Linked DNA regions of Rattus norvegicus. The protein of the gene in region 1 interacts with the protein of each later gene in a pairwise test. Links are inferred from orthologs where the notes say so. Each region holds a gene or a part of one and is shown in the gene's direction. Other genes may lie near its edges.

Region 1 (3,500 bases):
TGCCCTTGGTCTAACACAGTTAGTTCACTGCTTCATCTGGAGCATGAGCAGTGTGCAACACTGAGGCCGGCGTCTACCACATGGTGGGTTGTCACTCCCAGGAACTGCCTCTTCGGTGACACTTATAATCTGTCAGCACACTTGTCAGCACTGCCTGTGGCTTGTCTGCATATAGATAATACTTATCTTCTCACTAGACAGTAAGCCTATGGGCAAAGAAACTGGGACTATACGTTTTGTTTCTCCACAGTGTATGCCTTGCACATAACTCTTACAGATAAAATGAATGAATGAATGAATGTGAATGATCTCCCCTTGAGCACATCACCTTGAGGGTACTATAAGAGGAAAACCTGGGAATTGTAAATGGCTGGTAAAAATTTAGGCCTTGTACACCTCACCTCGTCTGCCCTAAGGTCTGTAAGTTGATCATTAGAAATGTTTTAATGTGAGGAAATTGAGGTTTGCTAGTTTGAATACTGGTATGTTCTTTGCCTTCCCCTCGCTGATTCTGGTTGTTTCTGAGCACTGGACTGGAAAGCAGAATTGTCAAGAATGACCCTTTTGAGGGCAAAGCTTTTGAATGCTTGGCCTCTGGAAGGGACACTAGACTTGAGGGCTACTCCACTGCCCTGTTTTGGGCTTATATGCATAGCAGTTGTGTTGAGCTGGTACCCTTGCTCTAACCCTGCCCATATGTGTAACCTAGTAGGAACCTTCCTTCCAACAAGTGCGATTCTGGGGGCACAGGGCACAGTGCATGCAGAGTAACCTGCTGCCCACTTTTTGGCCTATTTATTAACCTGGTTCCCTGATGAGCCAGGCCCACACCACACCACCTGCTCTAATTGTACAGGTGTGGCTGTTTCCTGGGATGTCTCAATTACATGTCCTTCCTGTGTTGACATCAAGGGCTTACAGCTTTCTCTTTAGACAGGAGGTAAAAATGGTGAAACAACAGGAACATTGTTCAGTTGAGCTACTGACCGATTGATAGTCTGAAGGTTTGGTGAAGTCTAAGACTGTAATGAAAAGTGTGCCCACTTTCATTCCAAGCCAATGCTATGCCAGCCCTTGATCTTGTCATGCTATGGCCAGGCCCGAGCAAAGTCAGTGTGGCCTGAGCTTTTTTTTTTTTTTTTTTTTTTCCGTTATTTCAGATGCAGTTGAGCTGCATCCAGTATACAGAAATCCCTGGGTTTCATCCAGATCACCATATACAGCTGGGAGTAGTTATCCCAGCACTTGGAAGCTGGAGTGGTATACTTAGTACAGTACGTAGTGAGTTCAAGACCAGCCTGTCTCGGGCATGGACAAGCTGAAGACTTTAAAGCAAACTAAAGAGCCAGAGGGTTGAGAGTGTAGCTCATGGCTGCGATCCCAGTACTTGGGGGTCCTGCGGCCTACCTGGCCTTTTTTTTTTTTTTTTTTTTTTTTGAAAGATTTATTTAGTATTATAGTTATATAAGTACACTGTAGCTATCTTCAGACACACCAGAAGAGGGCATCAAATCTCATTACAGATGGTTGTGAGCCACCATGTGGTTACTGGGGTTTGAATTCAGGGCCTTTGGAAGAGCAGACAGTGCTCTTAACCACTGAGCCATCTCTCCAGCCTCTGCCTCGCCTTAAAGCCCTGTTTCAAACAAATAAAAACTATAAGAAAAAGATCCAGAGGGGATGAGAGAAGTTCAATAGTTGGATAGACTCTAAGCCCAGGCCTTCCCAGACCAGCTGGTGGTTTTAAATAAGCCAGTGTGGCTCTCTTGAGCCCTGGGTTCCTGGTAGAGCTCCTGAGTCTCCGTGTAGGTAAGTTCTGTGAGTTGCTTGACACTTTGGATAAAGACCACAGTTAACCTCTACTCTTTCCTCAGCCTTTTCCATCATGGCCACCATCCTGTTTCCAGCCTTTCTTTCCCTCATGCTGTTGCCAGAGAAGGGCATGGTTCTCTTGCTATGTAAACTTAGTCTTTATTTTGTTCTTTTTTTAAAAATCTTTCTCATATTGCAACAGGCATCCCGGGCCCAAATCCTAGACAAAGCAACAGAGTATATCCAGTATATGCGAAGGAAAAACCATACGCACCAGCAAGACATTGATGACCTCAAGCGGCAGAATGCTCTTCTGGAGCAACAAGGTGAGCAGGCAAGCTCGTGGGGCAGCTGGCCCTGCTGTGCCCCGGCCAGGCTGGGGCTTTCACAAAACCTGAGCCTTCCGTCAGAGCTAGAGGACCATGCCTCAGAAGCATCCTCAGCCCTGAGTGTTAGAGCCATCCTGAGGAAGGACCAGACCCTCCAGTGAGGAGATGGAGGAGCTAGGGGATTGAACATCCAAAGGCTTGTATCTTTTCTGGCCTGATCTCTCCCTTTCTTGGGGCTCAGGTTCTTTGCCTACAGTAAGGGTCACACCTGGTGTCAGGTATCTGAACAGAGCTTTGAGGTCCTTGCAGTAGAATGTGCCATGTAAGTACCAGAGTCTCCAGGAGTTCAGGGACAGTGAGCCCTCCCCCTTGTCAATAGTAGTCCAATCAGGGCAGCCTATGGGCCAGGCCCCTGCTGTTCTCCAATGCTCACACCCGCCTTTTCCTACAACCACAGGGGAAAGCGAGAGCTGATCAAGTTCTTTGTTCCTGGGGAATTCACTTCTCTTCCTCCCTCATGGAAGATGCAAGTAAAAGGAAATGCAAGTAACCACCTGGGTTAGAACATCTCACATAAAATAACATGAAGGGTTAATCCTCCAGGCTCAAGCTGAGCTGAACCAAGGGATGGGCAGTGGGCGGCGGCAGCGGGTTGGATGATGGGCCAAGCAGCCTGCATGTAGGGGTGTCTGTTGGAAGGCCCAGGTATTTTGTGTGTATTGGTGACTTGCTTCCAAGTGTCCAGCTTGTCATTCCAAGTGGATTTTGTTCATGAGAGCCAAGCCAAAAGTTTTCTTTGACCCAATCTGTTGTGTCATCCTCTCCTGCTATCATTGGGCCTTCACCTTCACAGAGCCTAGCATTGCTGGGCTAGCTTCTTCTCTGTCATTGCATTGCTCAGTCCAACAGGGAACTCTTGCTCTGGTCTCTATGCTGGGTCCATGGCAGGACGGTGTCTCATCACAAGCCTTCTCTTCAGGGTGGTATGGCTGAGGCTGGCCATGTCTGCTGGGCCCCCAAGCCCATCTGGGAAAGGAAAAGGGGAAACGGAAGTGTGCAGGTGGAACAGCCACCAGAAGGGAGTGACTTCTGAGCCACCCTGTGCCTTGGGGGCCAGCAAGCAAACCCTTAGGAAGAACAGGCTGGACCCTGAGTCTGAGACTTGGTTGCTCCGGATCTCCAGAAGGGTAACATGCTCCCTTGGTTGCCTTTTAGTCCGTGCACTGGAGAAGGCAAGATCAAGTGCCCAACTGCAGACCAACTACCCCTCCTCAGACAACAGCCTCTACACCAACGCCAAGGGCGGCACCATCTCTGCCTTCGATGGGGGTTCAGACTCCAGCTCAGAGTCCGAGCCTG
Region 2 (4,283 bases), on another chromosome or scaffold:
AAACACATTTGGCTTTACGTGTTCGTTTCTTTTCTTTCTCCCTTGGCATTCCTTTCCTCCTTTCTGCTTAGGAAATTTGGAGCCAGTTTGTAGGCAGTTTGGAGCCAAAGGCCTCACATTTCCCAGCTGATGATAGGCCCTAATCACTCTCATCTTCCTACAAGCCTGTAACAGAGGAGTTTCCACTTCTGGGAATCTTGGTACTTTAATGTCAGGTTCCTTACTGTCTGTAGCCAAGGCTTAGAACCCATACTGGATTCCCATACTGGACTACAACTGAGGTGGAGGTGACTTCTCATGGGCCTCCAGAGGAATCCAGGGCTTCTGCTGACAGGCCTGTGTGTGGGACTGCTTTTCAGTTGGATGAACCTCGCTCAGCCAACCGACCTCTCAGGTATACTTTCCCTATCCTCTGAGGGTGATTTGGGGAATTGGGAGAGCTGCCAGTGGTGGGTGGAGAGAGCCTCCTCTTCTCTTCTGTTAGGGACTTGGACCCCATTTTGCACTTTGAACAGGGTGCCAGGGATGTGGGTAACCTCCCTTCTCTATAGACGTCTTGCTTCTCTCCAGCACTGGCTCACCACCCCCATTTGTGTCAGACTACACGGGATGCCGAAGGCCGCCACTACCCTGGTTTTTTCTGTCCTCGCCTCTCTGATACTCCCGAGGAAGCCTACTGTTGCCACCTGCAGGCTGCTGGGGGTTCCTGCTGTACCCTGGATGAATTTGAGGCCCTGTACCAAGTAAACTTGTCTACTCTTCAGCCCCCACCCATCCTCAGGTAAGAACTCTAGCCCCCAGATTCACAGAACACTGACAGGGCGCTTCAGTGTTTTGGGCTCTGTCCTTGAATTCTGCGTTGGGAGACTTGTAGCTTCCAGACTAGTGGAGAGGAAGTCACCTAAATCATAATTACAAACAATACTGTAAAAATTGAAAACGAAGTAACGGAAGCTGCTTTATGTCCTAAGGGGTTTGGACGGTGTTAATAAAGAGGATCTTGTAGTCCATGGACACATTGTAGTAGGGGGTTTAATTCTGAATCTAGCCGTGTTCGTCTTCAAGGTATTGCGAGCTCCCAAATTTGTTTGCAAAATATGCGCACATAGTCTATATTTATCCCGCGCTTTCTCGGGACTCTTGGCTCTGTAAACCCTGACTTGTACAGTGCAGCCAGTGTACAATTTTGATTCTCTCCTCTCTCCCTAGAGGCCCAGGCCCGCTCTTAGCACTGGGCATCTACAGTCTACTGTTGATGGCATTGATGACTGCAGATTTCGTGCACTTCTGCCGTGGTCCGGGACGGAGAGAAAGGCAAAACTCCCGCGGCCGCCGCCTTTCCTTTCGGGCCTCTGCCGCGCGCCCCCTACAGGTCCCAGTGGGAACAGACTAAGACGCTCGGGAAGCATCCTTGACCGTGCGCCTGCGCCCGCGCCTGCGCAACGCGGCCGAGTACCCTGCCCTTGCAACCTCTTCTTGGCCTCGCCTTCTTTGGCGTAACCCTGACGCATTGCTGGGGCGGGGCAGTCACCGGCATCTTCCGGAGCCCAGGGCTACCTTAGCTCCAGTGACTGTGCCTGCACCGGCTCTTGGAGCTCAGCTTCGTGATGACTGTGAGTGGTCCGGGGACCCCCGAGCCCCGACCTTCCGACCCCGGGGTGCGTACTGATTCTCCTGCGACATCTCCCCTTCGCACATGCGCCTTCGTACCTGGACTCCGTCACTTCTTTCTAGCCCTATATGGGACTCTGCCCGGACCCGGCTCCTCTTCCAACCGCGCTGCTCTGCTCACCGTCTTTCTCTCCATAGGCCAGCTCAGCCGAGGAGCTGCGGAAGGAGGGCAACGAGCTGTTCAAATGCGGGGATTACGAGGGCGCCTTGACCGCCTACACCCAGGCCCTGAGTCTTGGCGCGACACCCCAGGACCAGGCTATTTTGCACCGAAACCGGGCTGCTTGCCACCTCAAGCTGGTGAGGGGGTCGGGTTGCTCTAACCTGGTTCTACCTGTGCCTGGGATTGTCCATAGCCGCTGCTGTGCGCAGCAGCTGGGCATTTTCTAGCCACCCACAATTGCCAGTGGTCTTTAGGCATGGGTGGTGAGGGATCAGGTGGCTCAGTAAAACAGGGGTGTCGTTGCCACTCGATTAGTTCCTCTCAGGCTCCTGATCTTTCTTACAGGAAGATTACAGCAAAGCAGAATCAGAGGCATCTAAAGGTAGGGGGGTGTGGGCCCTCGTACGGAGCAATGGGTTTTCTGTGGTGGGCAAGGACTCTGGGACCACCGAGCCATCCCTTTCTCCTCCTTTGGTCCCAGACACTCGTCTTTCTACTTGCTTTCCCACTTCTTCGGCCTTTCCTTTTCTGCAGCTGCCCTCACCTTTTCTGAGGCTGAAGCACAGAGCTCCACATTCGTACCCCTATCTTCCTTTGGCCCTCAAGATCTATCCTTACTGCTCTTGCCTGGAGACGGTGGCCTCATGGGTGCTGATAGAGCTCCTGTTTGTGCTCAGCCATTGAAAAGGACGGTGGGGATGTCAAAGCACTTTATCGACGAAGCCAAGCCCTAGAGAAGCTGGGCCGCCTGGACCAGGCTGTCCTTGACCTGAAGAGATGTGTGAGCCTAGAACCCAAGAACAAAGTTTTCCAGGAGTCCCTGAGGAACATTGGGGGCCAGATTCAGGAGAAGGTATGTGAAGAGCCAAGAGAAGTTGGGGACTTCCTGGGTCTGGGTCAAGGATATAGACACAGTGCTCCAGACGGGAGCTACTGGTAACAAACACACATTAATAATGCTTGAAGTGGGGGCTGGGGATTTAGCTCAGTGGTAGAGCACTTACCTAGGAAGCGCAAGGCCCTGGGTTCGGTCCCCAGCTCCGAAAAAAAGAACCAAAAAAATAATAATAATAATGCTTGAAGTGTGGTTCTTCGGTGTATGTATACGTTTGTACTTGGCAAAGAATGAGGCAGGTAGGTGGTGTGGATGTGGGTGTGTGGGCTCTTACAGTACCTGGGGAAAGTAGGAATTGATTTGGCTCCATAAGGCCGAAGTACATTAGCATATCAAAGCTGTAAAGAAACAGGTGATGATCTAGTTAGCCTTAGACTCACTACGTGGCCAAAGCTGGCCTCGAACCCCTGATTCTCTTGCTTCCAAAAACATTTTTATTTTTACTTTTTTTAGACAGGGTTTCACGCAACCTAGGCTAGTCCTGGACTTGCTGCATGGCTGTGGATGGCCTTAACTTCCTACCTACACCTCCCAAGTGTTGGAGTTTCAGATGTCTGACTTTTTTTTTTTTTTTTCCTTCGGAGCTGGGGACCGAACCCAGGGCCTTGCGCTTCCTAGGCAAGTGCTCTACCACTGAGCCAAATCCCCAACCCCCAGATGTCTGACTTTTATTTCAGTTTTGTTTATAGTAAGAGAGACTTGGGACTTGCCTGTATACTCAGCAAGGAGAGAACAAAACTAAACAGACTAGGTCAGTGCTGTTTCTGAGAAATGATCGTGTGTGACCAGACAGGGCTCTGCTGATTGGTAAACGGAAAAGCAAGATATGTGGTATTACATATAGGAACGCACTCTGTCGCTGACTTAAGGACCCAAATAATATGTCATGTCTGGGAACATTTGGGTGCATCTGTGTAAGTCCGATGAAAAATACTAACATTTTACAATAAAAGCCGGGCGGTGGTGCACACCTTTAATCCCAGCACTTGGGAGGCAGAGGCAAGCAGACCTCTGGGTTAAAGGCCAGCCTGGTCTACAGAATGAGTTCCAGGACAGCCAGAGCTACATAGTGAGACTCTGACTTAAAAAAACAAACAATAAAAATAAAGGCCTGTTAAAAATGTACACCAGGCCAGTGGGGTGGTACACACCTTTAATATCCCAGAGGCAGAGAAAGGCAGATGTCTGTGAATTTGAGACCAGCCTGATTTACAAAGTGCATTCTAGGGCAGCCAGGACTGTTTCACAGAGAAACCCTGTTGTGAAAAAAAACCAACAACAAACTGTCCACTAAAGGCCAAACCTGGTGGGTGGTGCATACCTTTAATCACAGCACTCAGGAGCAGAAGCAGACAGATCTTTGTGAGTTCAAGACCAGCCTGGGCTACATTTAAAAAAAAAGAAAAGTGTGTGTGTGTGTGTGTGTGTGTGTGTGTGTGTGTTTATTAAAATGGTTCAAGACCAGCCTGGGCTGTATTTTAAAAAACAAGAAAAAAGAGAATGAGTGTTTGTATGTGTGTGTTGTGTTTATGAAAATGGTAATATTAGAAGAAT
Region 3 (3,500 bases), on another chromosome or scaffold:
CCTTTGGGATGGAGGAAGGTTCTGAGGAAACTTTCTTTTTGGACAGGTTTCATTAATTTCTTCAAAATTGAAAGATGATTGTTGGAGTGATAAGCCACACAAAGAAACAGAAGCTTTTGCATATTACCGGCGGACACACACTGCTAATGAGCGGCGGCGGCGTGGTGAAATGAGGGATCTCTTTGAAAAATTGAAGATTACATTAGGATTACTTCATTCTTCCAAAGTTTCCAAAAGTCTCATTCTTAATCGGGTAAGTATTGTGGAAATCGCATACACAAATGTAAGTTCAGTTAAGAGAAACTTACAGATACGATGAGAAAGAAAATTCATTATCATATGAGAGAAATGGAAGCAGAGTTACTTCTATTTAACAGTTGAGTGAAGTTAGTGGCTGGTCATGGCAGCTTATACCTGGTATGGCAGCACTTGAGAGGCTGAACAGAAAGATTGCCATGAGCTACAGAGTGATGCTGTATCACAAACAGGACTAGTAAATAAGCAATAAATACTACAGAGAAAAAAAATTAAGTCAAAATAACTTCACGTTTACTGTTAAGTATGGAGGCAGGGGAACAGGGAAGATTGATGGGGGTTGGTGGAGGTGGTGGTGGTGGTAGTGGTGATGGTAAGCAAGCAAGCTCATGGGTACATGTTCCCATGTGTGTGTATGCAGAAATGAGAGCAGGATGTTGGGCATCTTTTTTATTACTTTGAACAGGGTCTCTCATAGAACTGGCAACTTGACTCTATGGCTAGGCTGGGTGGCCATGGAACTCTTGGGATCTTCAGTGCTTGGGTTGTATAGGATTGTGCAGCCATGCTTAGCTTTTTACATGAGTGCTGGGCATTCAAACTCAGGTTCTCATGCCTGTAAGGTAAGTGCTGTGCTGTTGTCTTACCCGGTGAGCCATCTCCCTAGCCCCAAATATTTAAGTCTTAAGTTAGAAGCCGAGGAGTGGTAGGATAGCTCAGTTAACAAAGTGCTTACCTTGCAAGCATGAAGACTTGATTTCCATAACTCCAGAGTCTACATTAAAAAAAGAGAGGGAGATGTGGTGGCACATACTTTTAATTTCAGCTTTGGCTGGGCAGATTCTCTAGTCTCACTGGCCAGCCAGCTTAGCCTATTTGGTGAGCTCCAGGGCAGTGAGAGATCATGTCAAGAAAAGGAAGATGGTGCTGAGGAATAATACATGTCTTAAACTTAGACTAAGTCTGTGTGCTAGTCTCTATATTATTCCTTAAAGTATTTAGTACAGTTTATCATAGTGTAAAGTGCATAGTACAAAAATAATTTAGTGCACACATTTTTTTCCAGTAGAGATGGAACATGGTTTGATGCATGTGAGGCAAGCACTTTACCACCAAATAATTGCATCCATAATCCGTAACACTTCTTGATATCTAATAAAGATATTTAAAAAGAAAATGAACTACTCAGCTTAGTAAAGTTTTAACTTTGCATATAGGCCATCAAAAGCAACATCATTTCATTACTTTTAAGAAGTTGGGGAAGTATACATCTAGCATTTATATTTATTGAAATGAAACAGATTTTGTGAACATTTTTAAATTTGATTAAAATCTAAGCAGAACATGAGTATTTTATATTTTTCCTTGCAGTAGTGGAAAACTTGTTCACCACTCAGTGATGATCTTTGGAAATAATCATTCTCTACATTCCCTAAAAATATAAGCTAGAAAATAATTTAGCAAGTACTGTTGAGTTGGGGGTGTAGCTCAGAGATAGAACTCTTTACATAGCATGCACAAGGCCCTGAGGTTCTATTCCCAGCACCAGAACCAGTGGCTCAATGTATTATTCAATTTCTGAAACATGATTAGTTGTTTTATAATGTTCTCTAAAATACTACGTTAAAATACTTTCATTAAATAAATTGTGTAGGCCTCCTGTACTTTTTGGAGTACAAGTAAATGGTCCATTGACGTTACTGTTTTTATTCTAGGCATTCAGTGAAATTCAAGGACTAACAGACCAGGCAGATAAATTGATAGGGCAGAAAAATCTCCTGAGTCGAAAACGAAGTATTTTAATCCGGAAAGTATCATCTCTTTCAGGTAAGCTACATAAGCATCTCTGGGAAAGAAAGAGTACAGTGACAGCATTAGCAAGGACTCCAAGCCTTTCAGACTCTGTTGAGGTTTAGGATTGGCATCTCAGGCTTACAGCAGGATTAGCTTTGACTGAGCCTATCATAGTTTCTGAATTGTAATCACTTGCCTCTCAGAGTTTGGGGGAATATAATTAAATCAACTAGATTTCAACTAACTGTATTTCTCATTGTTTTGTGGTATCATGCACAGAGTGATGCTTTACTCCTATTTACCTGCAGGGAAAACAGAAGAAGTGGTCCTGAAGAAGCTAGAGTATATTTATGCAAAACAACAAGCACTAGAGGCGCAAAAAAGAAAAAAGAAGATGGGGTCAGATGAGTTTGGTCTGTCTCCCAGAATTAGTACACAGCTGGAGGGATCTTCATCATCTGTAGATCTTGGACAGATGTTTATGAGTAATAGAAGGGGGAAACCTTTGATTCTTTCCAGAAGAAGAGACCAGGCTACAGGTAAGAGAAACATTTTTTGCTTTTCTTAATGTAGCTAAACATCAATTTATTTTAGTGGACTGAACATCTCTTGGCTATAGTTCTAGTTAAATGAATTACAGATGATTTTTAAGAAACCTAACTTTAAGTAGTAACTTTGAACTTTTGGTTTTGCACAAATAACTCCTAAGAGCTTGTGTAAATCCTAGTTCTGATAACAGTCTACATGTAACATGTTTCTAGTAAGTACATAACTGCTATTATATGTGAATTCTTGATATTCTTTTTTTTTTTTTTTTTTTTTTTTTTTTTGGTTCTTTTTTTCGGAGCTGGGGACCGAACCCAGGGCCTTGCGCTTCTTAGGCAAGCACTCTACCGCTGAGCTAAATCCCCAGCCCCGAATTCTTGATATTCTTAAATTTATTACAGGTTGAAAAATAAATTGGAACTTTTTAAGGGTTTTTTTTTTTTAAAGTTAAGGTCGGCATAGTGGTGTGTATCTATATATAGTCTCAGCCACTTGGAAGACTAAGACAGACAATTGCTTGAGGCTCAGAATTGAGTTTGGTCTAGGTAACAGAGTCAGAGTGTTATAGTGTTATAGTGTTTGTAAAAATTTACAAAGGAATAGTGTAATTTCTTTGAACTTGTCCATTTTTCATTGTCTTAATTAAGGAACAAAGTAAACTTGCTTAAGTTGTTTTTTACCTTGTTTTTGGAAGTAGCTATACTAATTTAATGTTACTTGGTAGGCTCATGTTTTAGAGAAAGGTGTGGGTTTTTTTGTTTGTTTGTTTGTTTGTTTTGTTTTTTGTTTTTTTGTTTTTTGTTTTAATTCTTCTGACAGCTCAGTGTATAGACCAGAAGACTTTGTTTTAACATTACAGAATAAAATAAATGACCTGAATTCACAATGAAAAGAAACTATGGCTT
Region 4 (4,255 bases), on another chromosome or scaffold:
GACCTTTCCTTGGAGAACAATTTTGTCTCCATCCTGCTCTGAGGCCAAAGTCTCCTGGGTACTGTTATGATGAGATTTGTGCCTGCATTGAGTGTGTGCTGTCTTAGAGAAACAAGATTAGGTACTCGCTGGCTACATGGTGCTCACCTGAAATCCTGGCATTTGGGAGTGGGAAGGAATATCAGGAAGTCGCCATCTTTGGTTACATAGCAAGTTTGAAGCGAGATTGTTGCAAATGAGATCCTGTGTCAATTCCTCCTCTCTCTCTTCCAAGGGGAATTACATCCCGAAGTCACGTGAGCATTAGGGGTCATCCCCCTGTTCTGTGCCTGGGCGGATCTTCCGGTGTTTCTCTCCATAGCTACAGTGCCTTTGTTTCAGTCTACAAACTGTTACACAGTAACTGCAACTCTTGGAGAGAAAAAAAAAAAAAGGGTTGGTGATTTCTCTGGCGATGACTTTTAAGAGAGCCTTTTTGGAAGGGGCCTGATTGGCGCGTGTCTGGGCTTACCTAGACCATCTTTTCATACCCCCCAACCCGCGCCCTCCCATCTCTAGTCCAGCGGACTCTGAGAAATCCCCTCCATTCCTGACTCAGGTATGGTTACCCCTGGTTACCCACCAGATGGCTAGGAGAGCCTTGTTCTAGATGGGCTTCCCATGGGCCGTCTGGTTGCAATGGCCCTAATGAGATGGTTGTTTGCTTGCTGGGCAATACATAGGCATTAGCTCTAACCCCTCCGCAAGGCTGTCTCACGTTCCCGAGTTGTCACACCTAGCAGCGACCGCGGAGGAGCTCCAGAACCCGGGGCGAACCCAGGGCGAGATGGTGTGTTTCATGCCCTGGCTTCGGAAGCTGTTAACAACAGACGTTTTCCCGACGACACTAACCTCCCTGCAAATGACGGGAGAACCGGGAGGGATTCCCATTCGAGGACCAACGAGGGGCAGATGCGGGGCGGCCCCTACCTTGTCCAGCGTCCTGGCCCCAAGACAGGCGCGTGCGCATCGCCATCTCTCACCGCTCGCCCCCGCCCTCCTCGTCCGGGTTTTCAAATTTGAAACCTGCGGCTTTTCCCGCCCGAGCGGGGCCCCCGCGGCGGGAGAGGGCGGGACCGCGCGCCAGCCAACCCAGTCTCTGAGGCTCGTGTCCCGCCCCGAGGATGTGGCCGCGCCCCGCGCACGTGCAGCCCAGGCCCGCGCCTGCAAGGACCCGCGCGACTGCTTGTCGCGGGAGCCGGGCAGCTCGCAGCACCCAATGTCCAGGCTGCTCGGCCCGGCGGAGGGCTCGTCCCCAGAGCGCCGAGCTGCAGCCCGGGTCAGACTGGGCGGGAAGAGGCTGGCTGGGCGGGGTTGGGCGGGGCGGACGCAGTTCCCAGGGGCGGGGCGGAGGCGGGGCCGGGGCGGGGCGGCCGGGGCGGGGCGGGCCCTCTACTAGTGGCACCGTGTCAGTTACATTGAAACAAAAGTGGTAACGCGGCTGCCAGGGCCAGCATCCCTATCCCGCTCGCCGTCGGCTGTCGCCGACATGGAACCCGTGGCTAGCAACATCCAGGTCCTGCTGCAGGCAGCGGAGTTCCTGGAGAGGCGCGAGAGAGGTGAGGACTGACCCCGCGCCCGGGCTGCATTTGGCTCCCAACTTGGATGGAGCGCGGCTCGAGGGCAGCTAGCGCGCTGCTGCCCGCACATCCATAGGAGTTCGTAGGCAGCCGGGCATGGAGTGACTGGGGAGATCCTGGCGCCAAAAGCCTTTCCTTGACTACGCCGTGCCAGGGGCTCCAGCTGACGGGCTGTGTTCTCTCTCTGGCAGAGGCGGAGCACGGTTATGCGTCCCTGTGTCCACACCACAGTCCCGGGACCGTATGCAGGAGGAGGAAGGCACCCCTGCAAGCTCCTGGCGCGCTCAACAGTGGGCGGTGAGCAGGGATGGGGCAGTGTAAGGAGGGATGCTGATCCTTAGCTGGCCCGTCTAATTCTCCTCACTTGTTTGCTCTTCTGGGCCAGGTACCCTGCTCCCTCTGCCTTTTCTACACACACACACACACACACACACACACACACACACACACACACACACACGAACGCACTCCCCTACAGGCCTCTGCTCTGCTTTTCTGTCCTTTTGCATATTCTGTTCCTTTTAAATGGTTTTCCCTCCTACTGATTTCTCTGGCAGGCTTGGTTTTTTTTTTTTGTTTTTGTTTTGATCAAGTATCACATCTTTCCGGGGGACCTGTCTTGCCTGGCTGTCAGGGGGAGACCCTGCAAGTACCTGGGCAAGTGTCCTGTATCTTTCGGTGTGTGTGTGTGTGTGTGTTTGATTCCTTTTGCCACTACCTGGGGTTTGGTGTCCTAAATGAGCCTAGACCCCCACGAAAGCCTTACTTGGCACAGGTAGTGAGTTTGGAGCTGTACCTAAGGCTGAGGCTTTGCACAGCACAAGCTGCCCCTCACCTCTCCCCCTTGGCATTTGCAGGCATGTGCACAATGAGCTGGAGAAACGGAGGTGAGTCCCACCTGGCCCCCAACAGTACCAGGTCCCAAGGACCATCTCTCTCAGACCTTCCCTCCCTGGCCATCCCTCTGCCTGGGGAGGTGGGGCTGAAACTGCCCTCCAGACTCCTTCCCCTGCAGGAGAGCCCAGCTGAAGCGGTGCTTAGAGCAACTGAGGCAGCAGATGCCCTTGGGAGTTGACCATACCCGATATACTACACTGAGCCTGCTGCGCAGGGCCAGGATGCACATCCAGGTAAAGAGCTGCCTGCTGTCCCCAGTGTGCCTGTGAGACAGCGTCGTGCTGTGGATGGCTTGGCTGGAGAGCTGCCTCCATTCTGTGTGCCTCGAGGCAACCCTGTGCTTTTAGTTCTCGAACCCATCTTAAGTGGAAGAAAAGCAGAACGCGGGGCTGCTCTGGCGCGCTGTGAACGGTCCTTTTGTTCTGGTTAATATTACTTAAGTCTTAGCTGTGAGACCTTGGACGAGTCTGTTTCCTGTTGGGTTCAGCAGGGAGTAGATGGCTGGTGAAAATACTGTCTTTAAGCCAGGTGATTTGGCAGATCGCAGAGGGCTGGTACTAGCCTCTCCTCCTGTCTTCAGGGCTTACTGGTTTGGGTTCTGCTGGTCTTGCGGGGGGTGGGGAGGTGAGGTGGGAGGGCTTGGAGGCAAAGTACAAGTGAACTTGGCCTTGCTGCTGCTTGAGTGGAATTGCAGGCCCCCTGGTGGACAGGACTGGGTATGCAGACGCCAAGGCTTCGGCTCTGCGGACCATGTGGGCGTGTTAGAAGCTACCTTGGCAACACAAAAGACTGTTTCCTGCTTTCTGGGCCCATCTGAGGGAAGGAAACGGCGACAGTCAGATTGAAGGGACAGCAGACCGAGAGGCAGATTCAGTCCTAACGCCTGTCCTGTTTCTCGGTGTTTATTATGCACCTCCCTGTCAGGCTCTTTCCAAGAGCCGGGCACAGTCAGTGCCATTCCTGTTCAGCACATGTCTGCGCTGTCACATACGTGCCTGTGTCACTTCCAGTTGTCCTGGTTCTCATGTAGGCTTAGGTTTCTCCCATGGAGATTGTTCGACCTCATTTTCAAGTAGATGAAATGTGCTACCCAGAGGGGTTGACTGGCACCTGGGCATCAGCCGTTTCTTGGGCAGCTTCTCCTGAGCTGCCTTCTACTCTGCGTGCACATCTACGGAGGCTGAGGCCGTCTCGAGCTGGGATCCCTGATGGGACACAGCCTCACTTCCCGCTTCCTGTGAAACTCAAGCCTCTCCCTAATGCAAGCCTTGCTTTTCTGGGCTCTAAGCGGTCTCATGGCAGCTTTAAAGGCTTCTCTCCTGGCCAACCAGAGACAAAGCTGGACTCTGCAACTTCCCAGGGTCCCTCTGCCTTGATGGTACCCAGCCCTGTAGCTTAGTCTAGGTGAGGACATGTATTCTTTTGTACCTTGTCCTGAGTGCTCTGGCTTATTCTCCCCTTGTATTTTTTAAAACAAACAAGCCAAAATTCTTTGTATGGGTTAAGAATCAAACCTAGAGCCCAGCAAGTGCTAACGAGCGCCTCCAGGTGTCGTCTCTTTGTCTCGTATCTCGATGCAGTTCAGTTGGCAGCACTTCACAGTACTTGATGTGAGAAAACTTGGCTCTCCATTATTCAAAGAAATGGAGATCAGATACTGTGAGGTCTGTGGCCATGGGTGCAGTGGGGGGAAAACCTAGGTGTGGCCACATCCTTCAGTTTTGCTTGTCAGGATGCCA
Region 5 (3,974 bases), on another chromosome or scaffold:
TGCGCAGAACAGAACCCAGCTCCAAGAAGGAACTATCAGGTCCCAAGTATCAGTAATGCCAAAGTTAAGACATCCGTTAGAAGAGGGACGTGGAAAGAGGGTGGTGGTTGGGAGCAGCAAGTGGCTGCTTTTGAGTGTGCTCTCTGCTTGTTATTGTCTCTGATGTCAGTTACACTTCAAGAGAGGAGAGCACAGGAGGAGCAACCATCGCCAGTAGAAAGCACTGAGTGATGGGATTATTTCATTTAGACTTCACGATGAAGCTTACTAAATAGGTGTTTCCTGGGAACAAGGAAGGCCCATGCCTGTTTCTCTCAGTACCGTCTACATAGAGTCTGGTCCAGTGCCTGGCATGTGTCTCAACATCGTGAATACATGGAAGAAATAAATTCATCTTATATGAGAGGGAAAAAAAAGCTTGGGGTCCACTATGAATACAATACCAAATCTTTACGTCCTTTCCTTATATCATCAGAACAGGTTTTCTGTCTAAAAACACCAATGAGGCACGGAGGAAGAATACAGAGTGTCGAAACAGGGAAAGAAGGACCGAATGGACGTCCTCTCTGACTCTCATTAAATGATCTCATGTTTCTGAACTGCGACTTTTGTTCGTCAGAGTATCTGTGGTTCTGTCCTTATAAATAATGTTACTTTCCTCTTTTAGAGGGTGAGAGTACCCAGACACTGACGTTTCACAGGAAAGCAATAGATAGAGAACTCTAGGCCCAGAGCACCATCTAAGGAATGAGTCTCCTTGGGAGAAGACCCAAGTCTTTTCCTCAGAAGCAAAGTCATGTAAATTTTTAGTCTTGCCATTCTTGGAATCTGGAAAGGAAAGCCAAGGAAAGACTACATCTCCCAGAGGCCATCGCGGAGTGCTCCACGCGCAAGCGCATGGAGGCGGCCCCGTCCCTCGACACCCGACGTGTACTGGCTTGGGGGCGGGACTACATTTCCCATGGGGCAGCGGAAGGGGCGGGCAGGGGCGGGACCTTGTCGCTGCTCCGGTCCCTCCCCCGTGCTCGCGCGGAGAAGTAAACAAACCGCGCGCGGGCTGCAGGCGGCGCGGCGGGCGCGGCGGGCACGGCTAGGGCGGCGGAGAGCGCGCCGAGCCGGAGCCGAGCTGGCCCGCCCGCCCGCCGCACATGTCCAGGGTCGTCGTGGGACTGTAGCCGTCTGTGGCGCCTCCTGTCGGCCGGGGGCGGGAGCGCGGAGCCCATGGAGCGGGTGCGGATGATCAACGTGCAGCGCCTGCTGGAGGCCGCGGAGTTTTTGGAGCGCAGGGAGCGAGGTAACGGCTGGACGCCGTCGCTTCGACCACAGCCTCGGGCTCCGCGCGGGGAGTGCGGCGCGGCTGGCAAGGGGAGGTGCGCGCGTGTGTGTGGAAGTGCGTGCACCGGTGAGGGGGAGGCGCGCGCCCGCGCGCGGCAAGAGGAGCACGCGCGTGTGGGAAGAAATGTGCGTGCGTGTGAGGTGCACGAGCGTGGAAGTCCGCGCGCTGTTGGAGAGGTGGGTGCGCCGGGAGGGAGGTTTGCTCTGGAGTGCAGGTGAGTTCCGGAGTGGAGGCGTGCAAGAAGCTCGCGAGCGAGAGCAGGCGTGTGTGCACTTGTGCATGAGGTGTGAGTGGGAGCTTAGGCAAGGGAGAGGGGGCTTTAGGGGAGGACCGGTGGCTCTGGGCTGCAAGGGAAGGACTCTCCAGTCGCGCAGGGGCAGCTGCTGAACGGACCCGAGGAGAGGGCGGAAGACGCTGGACCAAGAGCTCTTGCAACTTGAGACCGCACTGGAGAGTGAAGGGGGTGGGAGCTGGGGAGGTGTGGGTGCAGGAGGCGGGGTCTGTACGAGCCCGGGGGCGGAGTGGAGTGGGGGTAATGCCGGCTGAAGAGCTGCGGGAGGGGCTCCCTGCTATTGTGAGCATGGGGTACAGTGAGATGGTGTTGCCTTGGAGGTGAAGATAGGTGGAGGAATAGGAAGACAGAGGAAGGAGTGTGAAGAGCCTAAATGCTGCTGTCAGGAGAGAGGAGGTCCTTACCGAGACGTTGTGGTCAAAAGAGCTGGGGCACGCAAAAACGTTGAGGCTACAAAGGCACTGAAGAGGTGACTGTAGTTAAACCAAGGGTTTCGGATTGTTTTGTTTTGTTGGTTGGCTGGTTTTTCGGGACAAGGTTTCACTGTGTAGCCTTGACTGTCCTGAAATTTTATCTGTAGACCAGGCTGGCTTCAAACTCAGAGATCGACTGCTTTTGCCTCTGGAGCGCTGGGATCAAAAGCAACAACCACTACCACCTGGCTGGGGGGATTTTTTTTTCTAAGGCGAGTGAATGGGTGGGTAGCTGGTATTAGAAATTAGGATTTTAAAAGAGAATTCTTGGTACTGGAGCGATGGCTCTGCTGATAAGAGCCCTTGATACTGATTTGGAGACCCAGGGTTGTTCCCAGTACCCATATTGAGCTTTTCTTTGCAGCCTGTAACTCCAGTTCCAGGGAGATCCATGTTTTTTTTTCTGGCTTCCCAGAAAACATGCATAAATATACATGCTTCTGAACAGCTATGCACATGTAAAAAAAAAATAAACCTAAAGAATTCTCGGAGGAGAGGGTTTTGGAGAGGAGTGAGAAATTTGGTTTGGAAGAGTTAACGATACATTCTCTTGGCAGTGGGCTGGGTATGTAATTTTTTTTTCCTTTGGGTAGGGGCTTGCCGCATAACCCAGGCTGGCCTTGGACTCGGCCTCCTGGGTGCTGGGGTTAAAGGGACGTACCAACCTTAGCTAAACAGTGGGATTTTATCTTCTAACCAGAGAGTAGGAACATTTTATCTTTTCTACTTAAAAAAAAAAAGTGTTACTACGAGGCCTTTGGATCTGTGGGTCTTTTTTTTTTTTTTTTTTTTTTTTTTCTTTTCTTTTTTTCGGAGCTGGGGACCAAACCAGGGCCTTGCGCTTGCTAGGCAAGCGCTCTACCACTGAGCTAAATCCCCAACCCAGTCTGTATTCTTCGTAAACTTTCTTTTCCCTTACTGTTTTTTAGAGTGTGAACATGGCTACGCTTCATCATTCCCCTCCATGCCGAGCCCCCGGCTACAGCACTCAAAGCCCCCACGGAGGTTGAGCCGGGCACAGAAACACAGCAGTGGGAGCAGCAACACCAGCACTGCCAACAGGTAGCAAGATGGCGGAGGGGGCGTGAGGGGACAGGCGTGGAGGGGCTCAGACTCCAGGCCTAATCCCATGGATCTGTTTTCTCTCTAACACCACCCTGGCTCTGTGTGCAAAAAGGGAATCTAATCCCACAGAGGCAACTGAAATTGTTCTTGCTGGTTAGTAGGGGGTCCCCATCACTAGAGGATGGTAAGTTGAGACTTGGTAGCTAGCCTGTGCCCATGCTAGCCACATGCTGAGAGTAATCTTGGATCAGCTTTCATTTTTCTCTCCAAGTTCAGGATAGTCCAAGAAGAATCTTTTAAAATTAGAAATAGCCCCGGCAAGATATAAAAGAGAATCAAGGGCTTTGTTAAAAAAATAAAAATATCGGGGCTGGGGATTTAGCTCAGTGGTAGAGCGCTTACCTAGGAAGCGCAGGGCCCTGGGTTCGGTCCCCAGCTCCGAAAAAAAAAAAGAACCAAAAAAAATAAATAAATAAATAAAAATATCTAGCTATGTTAATGGGACTGGCCCATTTGTTAAGGAGGAGGGGAAGGACCCTGTTGTATAACATTTGAATCTTACTCAATGGAAAGTGGTCGGTATGGAGGTTTTAGCAGAAATAAAGAAGACTCCTTCCGGGATGGACTTCTTTTCCAGAACGTGCTTGTTCAGAGGAGCTGAGACGTAACTGACTTCCGCTTTTGGTAGAGTCTGGCTGATTTTTCAGTATTTTGATTCAAGGATTTGTGTCAATATGCAGTTTTCAAGAAACCTTAAGAGAAGGGTATTTTCCATTGATAGGAGGAAGTTAAAGGAGACCGTTCTTTC
Region 6 (4,287 bases), on another chromosome or scaffold:
AGACTGGGAGGGAGGTGGCTCTGGTTTCCACATTCCCAGATTGTTAACAGCCCTGAGTGTGGGAGCACTAATCTCCATTTTTCTATTTCAAGGGGGCTCTGCAAGTTTCCTTATCTGCATATTGGGCATATGGAGATCCACAAGGAAGCATGTATAAGGCTGGTCATAAAGTAAAGATCAATGTTAATTTTTATTGTTTGCTACAGTAGCCCCCTTCCATTTTAAGGGTTGCTGTCTAGCCACCTTATTTCCCACACACCTCTCCTGCCTGCTGTTTTGTCCTCAACCTAAAAACACGGAGAGGATCAAGAGGTGGGAGGGGTTGGATACAAAGATGGTGTTAAGGCATCTTGAGCTTCCCTTCCCCCATGCATCTATCTATAGGCCAGTCTGAGGAGTCCGGGTAATTAGGGCTTAGAGTGACCAAGACAGCCAGGAGCTTGCTGAAAAGCTCACTCTCTTATCACCATAGCCTGGCTCTTGGAATGGCCCTACCCTCAGACCAAGCACCGTAAGCAGACTACACTCCCGGATCCCTCTCGCGCAGTAGTGTCAGTAGGTCTTGGTGCCTTTTCCTTAAGCCTGGTGACCTTCCTTTTCACCCCTGATTGCTGATCCTACCTACTTTGGGTCTGATATCTAAGAGGCTTTTAGATTCCAAAGGTCTGCGTCCCCGTCCCAAGTTTTAGCCTCCCCCAGAAGCCACTATTCAAGCAGAGACAGGTGTCATTTGCAGTTCTTAAGCAAGATCCCAGCTCCCGCCCCAATCAGGCCCCAAGCCCAGTCCTCCACCTAGACTATGGTACAGCTGACTCCCGGCAACAGGTCGTTGCGCACGACATGCATGGGCACGACAAAGCGCCGGGGCGCGTGTCCGCAGCGCATCCTGCGGGGTGTCTCCCGAGACACGGTCCACGTCCTCCTGGCCCCCGCGTAGGCCGGGCAGCAGTCCCACCGCGCAGTGCTTCCTCTCGGCAACCCGTCTTGCCCGGGCGTCCTCATTGGCCCCACGCCCCGTCGCCCGCCATTGGTCCGGGGACCCAATTTACATAGACCGATCTGGCCCAATCGGTGTGCAATGCCTACTTAACATGCACGATGGCCGCCAGTCAGCGAACACTGGGGCTGGGCCACCACGTGCTGTTGCTAAGCTTGGGCTTCTAAATTGTTACTACTGGAGCCAGCCTATCCCAGTCAAGCTTCGCATCTGTCAACATTCTCAGCCCTGCCCGAGGCGTTCGGCCAGTCCCTATTGGCCAAGGCTTGCCAAGAACCCGCCCCCTAGGAAAGAGCGCACACACCCATTGGCTGTGTCGACTGCTGCTCTACTTATGTGTCAATTTGAGGGCCTGAGGCGGAGGGTGGCGGCCCAGCGCTGGAGTCCGCGAGTCGCGCTGGTGTGCCGCCAGGCGCGGGGCGTGCGGCGAGCAGAGCCGGCAGGAGCGCGCCGGGCAGCCGCCGCCGCCGTCCCGTGCGCGGGCGGCAGGATGGAGCTGAACTCTCTGCTGCTGCTGTTGGAGGCGGCCGAGTACCTGGAGCGTAGGGACCGAGGTAGCCCGCGCCCCTTTGTGCCAGGGTGGGTGGGCGGCGGGCGGGCGCAGGGGGCTGCTGACCGCACCGTCTGTCCCGCAGAGGCCGAGCACGGCTACGCCTCGGTGCTGCCCTTCGACGGTGACTTCGCCAGGAAGAAAACAAAGACGGCCGGCCTGGTGCGCAAGGCCCCGAACAACAGGTACCGCCCCCAACCCCCACCTCCCACCCCCGCGCGCTGTGCCAAGCCAGCTCAGGCCAGCCCCGCCCGAGTGTCCCCCGTCCTCTCCGCGTCCCCAGTGTAGTCCTGCGCGCACCCGGGCGGCCGGCCTGGAGGAGGTGCCGGCCCCGCCCGCGCGTCGCCATCTTCCCGCGGCCGCGCCTCCCCGCCGCCGTAAACAGTGCCACGCGTACAGCGGCCGCGCTCGCCTATAGCCGTTCTGGACTTTTCCAGACCGGAGAGGAGTTGTCAGTTGGTGCCGACCGCTACTCCCTCGTTTGGGCCGAACTGGGGACTCCTCCCTCCCTTGCACTTCTCAGAGCTGGCATTGCACTTAGGCCCTGCACCTTATCCCCAGGAGCCTGGACAGAGATCTCTCCCTTGGTACTTACGGGTCCTGCGCAGCCTATTGACAGGGAAACTCCAACTACAAGTATAGGGCTGTCTTTGTCGCGAAGTGCTGCAGGGAGCTACTTCTCCCAAAAGTCCCCAGGCCCAACTACACTCTCTTTGCCTTGCCCTTGTGCTTGGAGGAAGCCCTGAAGCTGAGGTTTAGGGACTCCTAAAGGTTCCACCTTCCTGGCTGCAGTGGGGGCCATGGCACACCTGACACTGTCTAGGGGGCCAACCTTGGCCCAGCTACTCCTGTGTGGTCAGTGTGAGAGCTTCCCTGGCAGGCTGGGGGCTTCAGGGCCCCTTGGCAGAGGGTGCGGCTCATTCCTGTGGCCTGTCTGTTCTTGGGAAACAGAGAGGCTGGCACAAGGACCCATTTCTGTGGTGTCCTGGGCCTGGCAAAGAACTGGTTGAATTAGCAACTGCCTGAGCCCCAGCCCCTGGTCTCCTGCTTTGGGCAGTTTGCAGAAGGACATAAGTGTGCTGGATGCCTCACTGTCCCAAGCTTCCACAGTGAGATGGCCTGGCCCCAGCTTCTGTCTGCCCCGAAGCCCAGATTGAGAGCTCAGGTTCCTGTGGCATGGAGTACCCACAGCTGATAGGAATGGTAGCATTCCTGAGCTGAGGCCCTTGAATGCTTCTGCCATATACACAAGTAAGCAGTCTGACCCAGCCTTGTAAATGAAGCCCTATTTTGATCTCCATTTTACAACTGAGGAAGCCAAGGCATAGACAGATGCAATTACTCGTGCAGGGCCACTTAACCACCTTTGTTCCCTGTTCCTGGATGAGGTCCTAGCCTTCCATTTTCTGCTGGGGTGGAGAACTGGGTGCAAGGGGCAGGGGCTGCAAAGGGCCTCTCTGACTTGACTTGGGTGCACCTCCCCTAAAGTTTCCTTGGACAGAATGTACTCCCTCAAGGCCTAAAGCCTGAGGGGTGGCAGGCAGACACAGCCCTTCCCTCCTCGGTCATTGCTCAGAGTCTATTCTCAGCCAGCTCAGTTGAAAAGCTGGGATTCCAGATGTGGAAGGGAAGTTCTGAAACTATAAGGCTTCTGTGTCCTGGCAAATTGAAGGACAGGCCCTGGTATGGCAGGCTAGTGTGAGAGATGGATAGGTCACCCATGGGAGGGTGCCTGAGTCAGCCTTTAGGGTGAGGTTCTTTGAGAATGGAAGCAGAAGGGTCAGATCCAGGTGGTGCCCAGGCAGCATCTGACACAACCATGGCCTCTCCTCGGGCACAGGTGCTTTTTAGAATTTGTGTGACAAACTCAGGACGAGTTCCAAGAAAGGTCAACCCCCATGCTGCTAAAAGGTGGCCCTCTAGTCCAGGATCGGGAGCTGGCAAGACAAGTAGTATCTTCTAGTACAGGAGTTGAGGGAGCTCCTCAACACCGAAGGCTCCTTCTGCTGACCCTAACCTGCTACACAAACTAGTAGACCTACAGACCCAGTCAGGCTGCCATTTGGAGAACTGAAAGGCAATTCTTCAGAGGCCATCGAGCAGTTTCTGCACTGCCTTCTTGGCTCTGATTGGCCTGTGGAGGGATTCTGAGGCTCTGGGCTGGTCCAAGTGACTAGCAGGTTTTGGGAGAGCCTTGGAAGTACCCGGGAGAGCCCAGGAATCAGCAGGGCCTGAGGGAAGATGGGTGAGCTTGTACCCTAATGGCTCCAGTAGATGATGGGGCAGGTGGAGTGTGCACACTTTTAAAAGATCCCAGATCCAAGCTCTAGAGCAACAGAGGAAAGGACAGGTAGGCAGTAGCAGAACACAGGGAGAGCCTAGGGCTGACTGAGTGTGTCCTGAGCTTTCTGCTCATATATGCAGCAGCCTGGGGACCTTGTTGGTCTGTGGCATTCCCTTAGATTGAGAGAGCCACTTGGAAACCTGAATGACAGCTGTGGTGTTCGGAAGTCTGGTCTGGGGGAATGGGCTTGGCCAGTGGGGTTCAAACAGTCCCTGGAGTCACTGTTCCCTGGGAAGGTAAAGTTGGTCTCAGGGTTACATGTTCTAGCATGATGCAGCTCCTGAGAGAAGGGGGAGTGGCCATCGTCTGTGTCCTGCTATGTACCTATAGGCCCAGAAAGCATGCATTTCTCACAAATGCCCCTGCAAGCTGACTTGGCTTTAAAAGCTTTCTTCT

Evidence for each region.
Region 2: the proteins of Max (region 1) and Unc45a interact in binary tests that used the Homo sapiens proteins (3 or more experiments, as listed by UniProt). The two-hybrid records come from large-scale screens. The link is inferred for Rattus norvegicus from reciprocal best matches to the Homo sapiens genes MAX and UNC45A.
Region 3: the proteins of Max (region 1) and Mga interact in binary tests that used the Homo sapiens proteins (3 or more experiments, as listed by UniProt). The link is inferred for Rattus norvegicus from reciprocal best matches to the Homo sapiens genes MAX and MGA.
Region 4: the proteins of Max (region 1) and Mxd3 interact in a two-hybrid assay, tested with the Homo sapiens proteins (4 studies listed by BioGRID). The link is inferred for Rattus norvegicus from reciprocal best matches to the Homo sapiens genes MAX and MXD3.
Region 5: the proteins of Max (region 1) and Mxi1 interact in binary tests that used the Homo sapiens proteins (3 or more experiments, as listed by UniProt). The link is inferred for Rattus norvegicus from reciprocal best matches to the Homo sapiens genes MAX and MXI1.
Region 6: the proteins of Max (region 1) and Mxd4 interact in a two-hybrid assay, tested with the Homo sapiens proteins (2 studies listed by BioGRID). The link is inferred for Rattus norvegicus from reciprocal best matches to the Homo sapiens genes MAX and MXD4.

The regions. Positions count from the first base shown.
Region 1 is NC_086024.1:101,371,291-101,374,790, reverse strand, and holds part of Max (protein max), read left to right. Parts: intron 1-2,014; coding exon 2,015-2,138; intron 2,139-2,598; coding exon of another isoform or gene 2,599-2,683; exon of another isoform or gene 2,684-3,356; coding exon 3,357-3,500. UniProt on the Homo sapiens protein: Transcription regulator. Forms a sequence-specific DNA-binding protein complex with MYC or MAD which recognizes the core sequence 5'-CAC[GA]TG-3'. The MYC:MAX complex is a transcriptional activator, whereas the MAD:MAX complex is a repressor.
Region 2 is NC_086019.1:143,703,101-143,707,383, reverse strand, and holds the start of Unc45a (protein unc-45 homolog A), read left to right. Parts: upstream 1-1,483; 5' UTR 1,484-1,607; coding exon 1,608-1,658; intron 1,659-1,809; coding exon 1,810-1,971; intron 1,972-2,179; coding exon 2,180-2,216; intron 2,217-2,368; exon of another isoform or gene 2,369-2,511; coding exon 2,512-2,687; intron 2,688-4,283. Other genes in the region: Shisal3 (protein shisa-like-1a), read left to right, coding at 298-394, 571-781, 1,210-1,393.
Region 3 is NC_086021.1:127,387,558-127,391,057, forward strand, and holds part of Mga (MAX gene-associated protein), read left to right. Parts: intron 1-46; coding exon 47-253; intron 254-1,970; coding exon 1,971-2,082; intron 2,083-2,357; coding exon 2,358-2,588; intron 2,589-3,500. UniProt on the Homo sapiens protein: Functions as a dual-specificity transcription factor, regulating the expression of both MAX-network and T-box family target genes. Functions as a repressor or an activator.
Region 4 is NC_086035.1:9,305,097-9,309,351, forward strand, and holds the start of Mxd3 (max dimerization protein 3), read left to right. Parts: upstream 1-1,455; 5' UTR 1,456-1,528; coding exon 1,529-1,598; intron 1,599-1,810; coding exon 1,811-1,916; intron 1,917-2,476; coding exon 2,477-2,506; intron 2,507-2,634; coding exon 2,635-2,749; intron 2,750-4,255. UniProt on the Homo sapiens protein: Transcriptional repressor. Binds with MAX to form a sequence-specific DNA-binding protein complex which recognizes the core sequence 5'-CAC[GA]TG-3'.
Region 5 is NC_086019.1:262,347,468-262,351,441, forward strand, and holds the start of Mxi1 (max-interacting protein 1), read left to right. Parts: upstream 1-1,174; 5' UTR 1,175-1,221; coding exon 1,222-1,294; intron 1,295-1,953; exon of another isoform or gene 1,954-2,097; intron 2,098-3,030; coding exon 3,031-3,163; intron 3,164-3,974. UniProt on the Homo sapiens protein: Transcriptional repressor. MXI1 binds with MAX to form a sequence-specific DNA-binding protein complex which recognizes the core sequence 5'-CAC[GA]TG-3'. MXI1 thus antagonizes MYC transcriptional activity by competing for MAX.
Region 6 is NC_086032.1:80,785,450-80,789,736, forward strand, and holds the start of Mxd4 (max dimerization protein 4), read left to right. Parts: upstream 1-1,487; coding exon 1,488-1,551; intron 1,552-1,632; coding exon 1,633-1,732; intron 1,733-4,287. UniProt on the Homo sapiens protein: Transcriptional repressor. Binds with MAX to form a sequence-specific DNA-binding protein complex which recognizes the core sequence 5'-CAC[GA]TG-3'.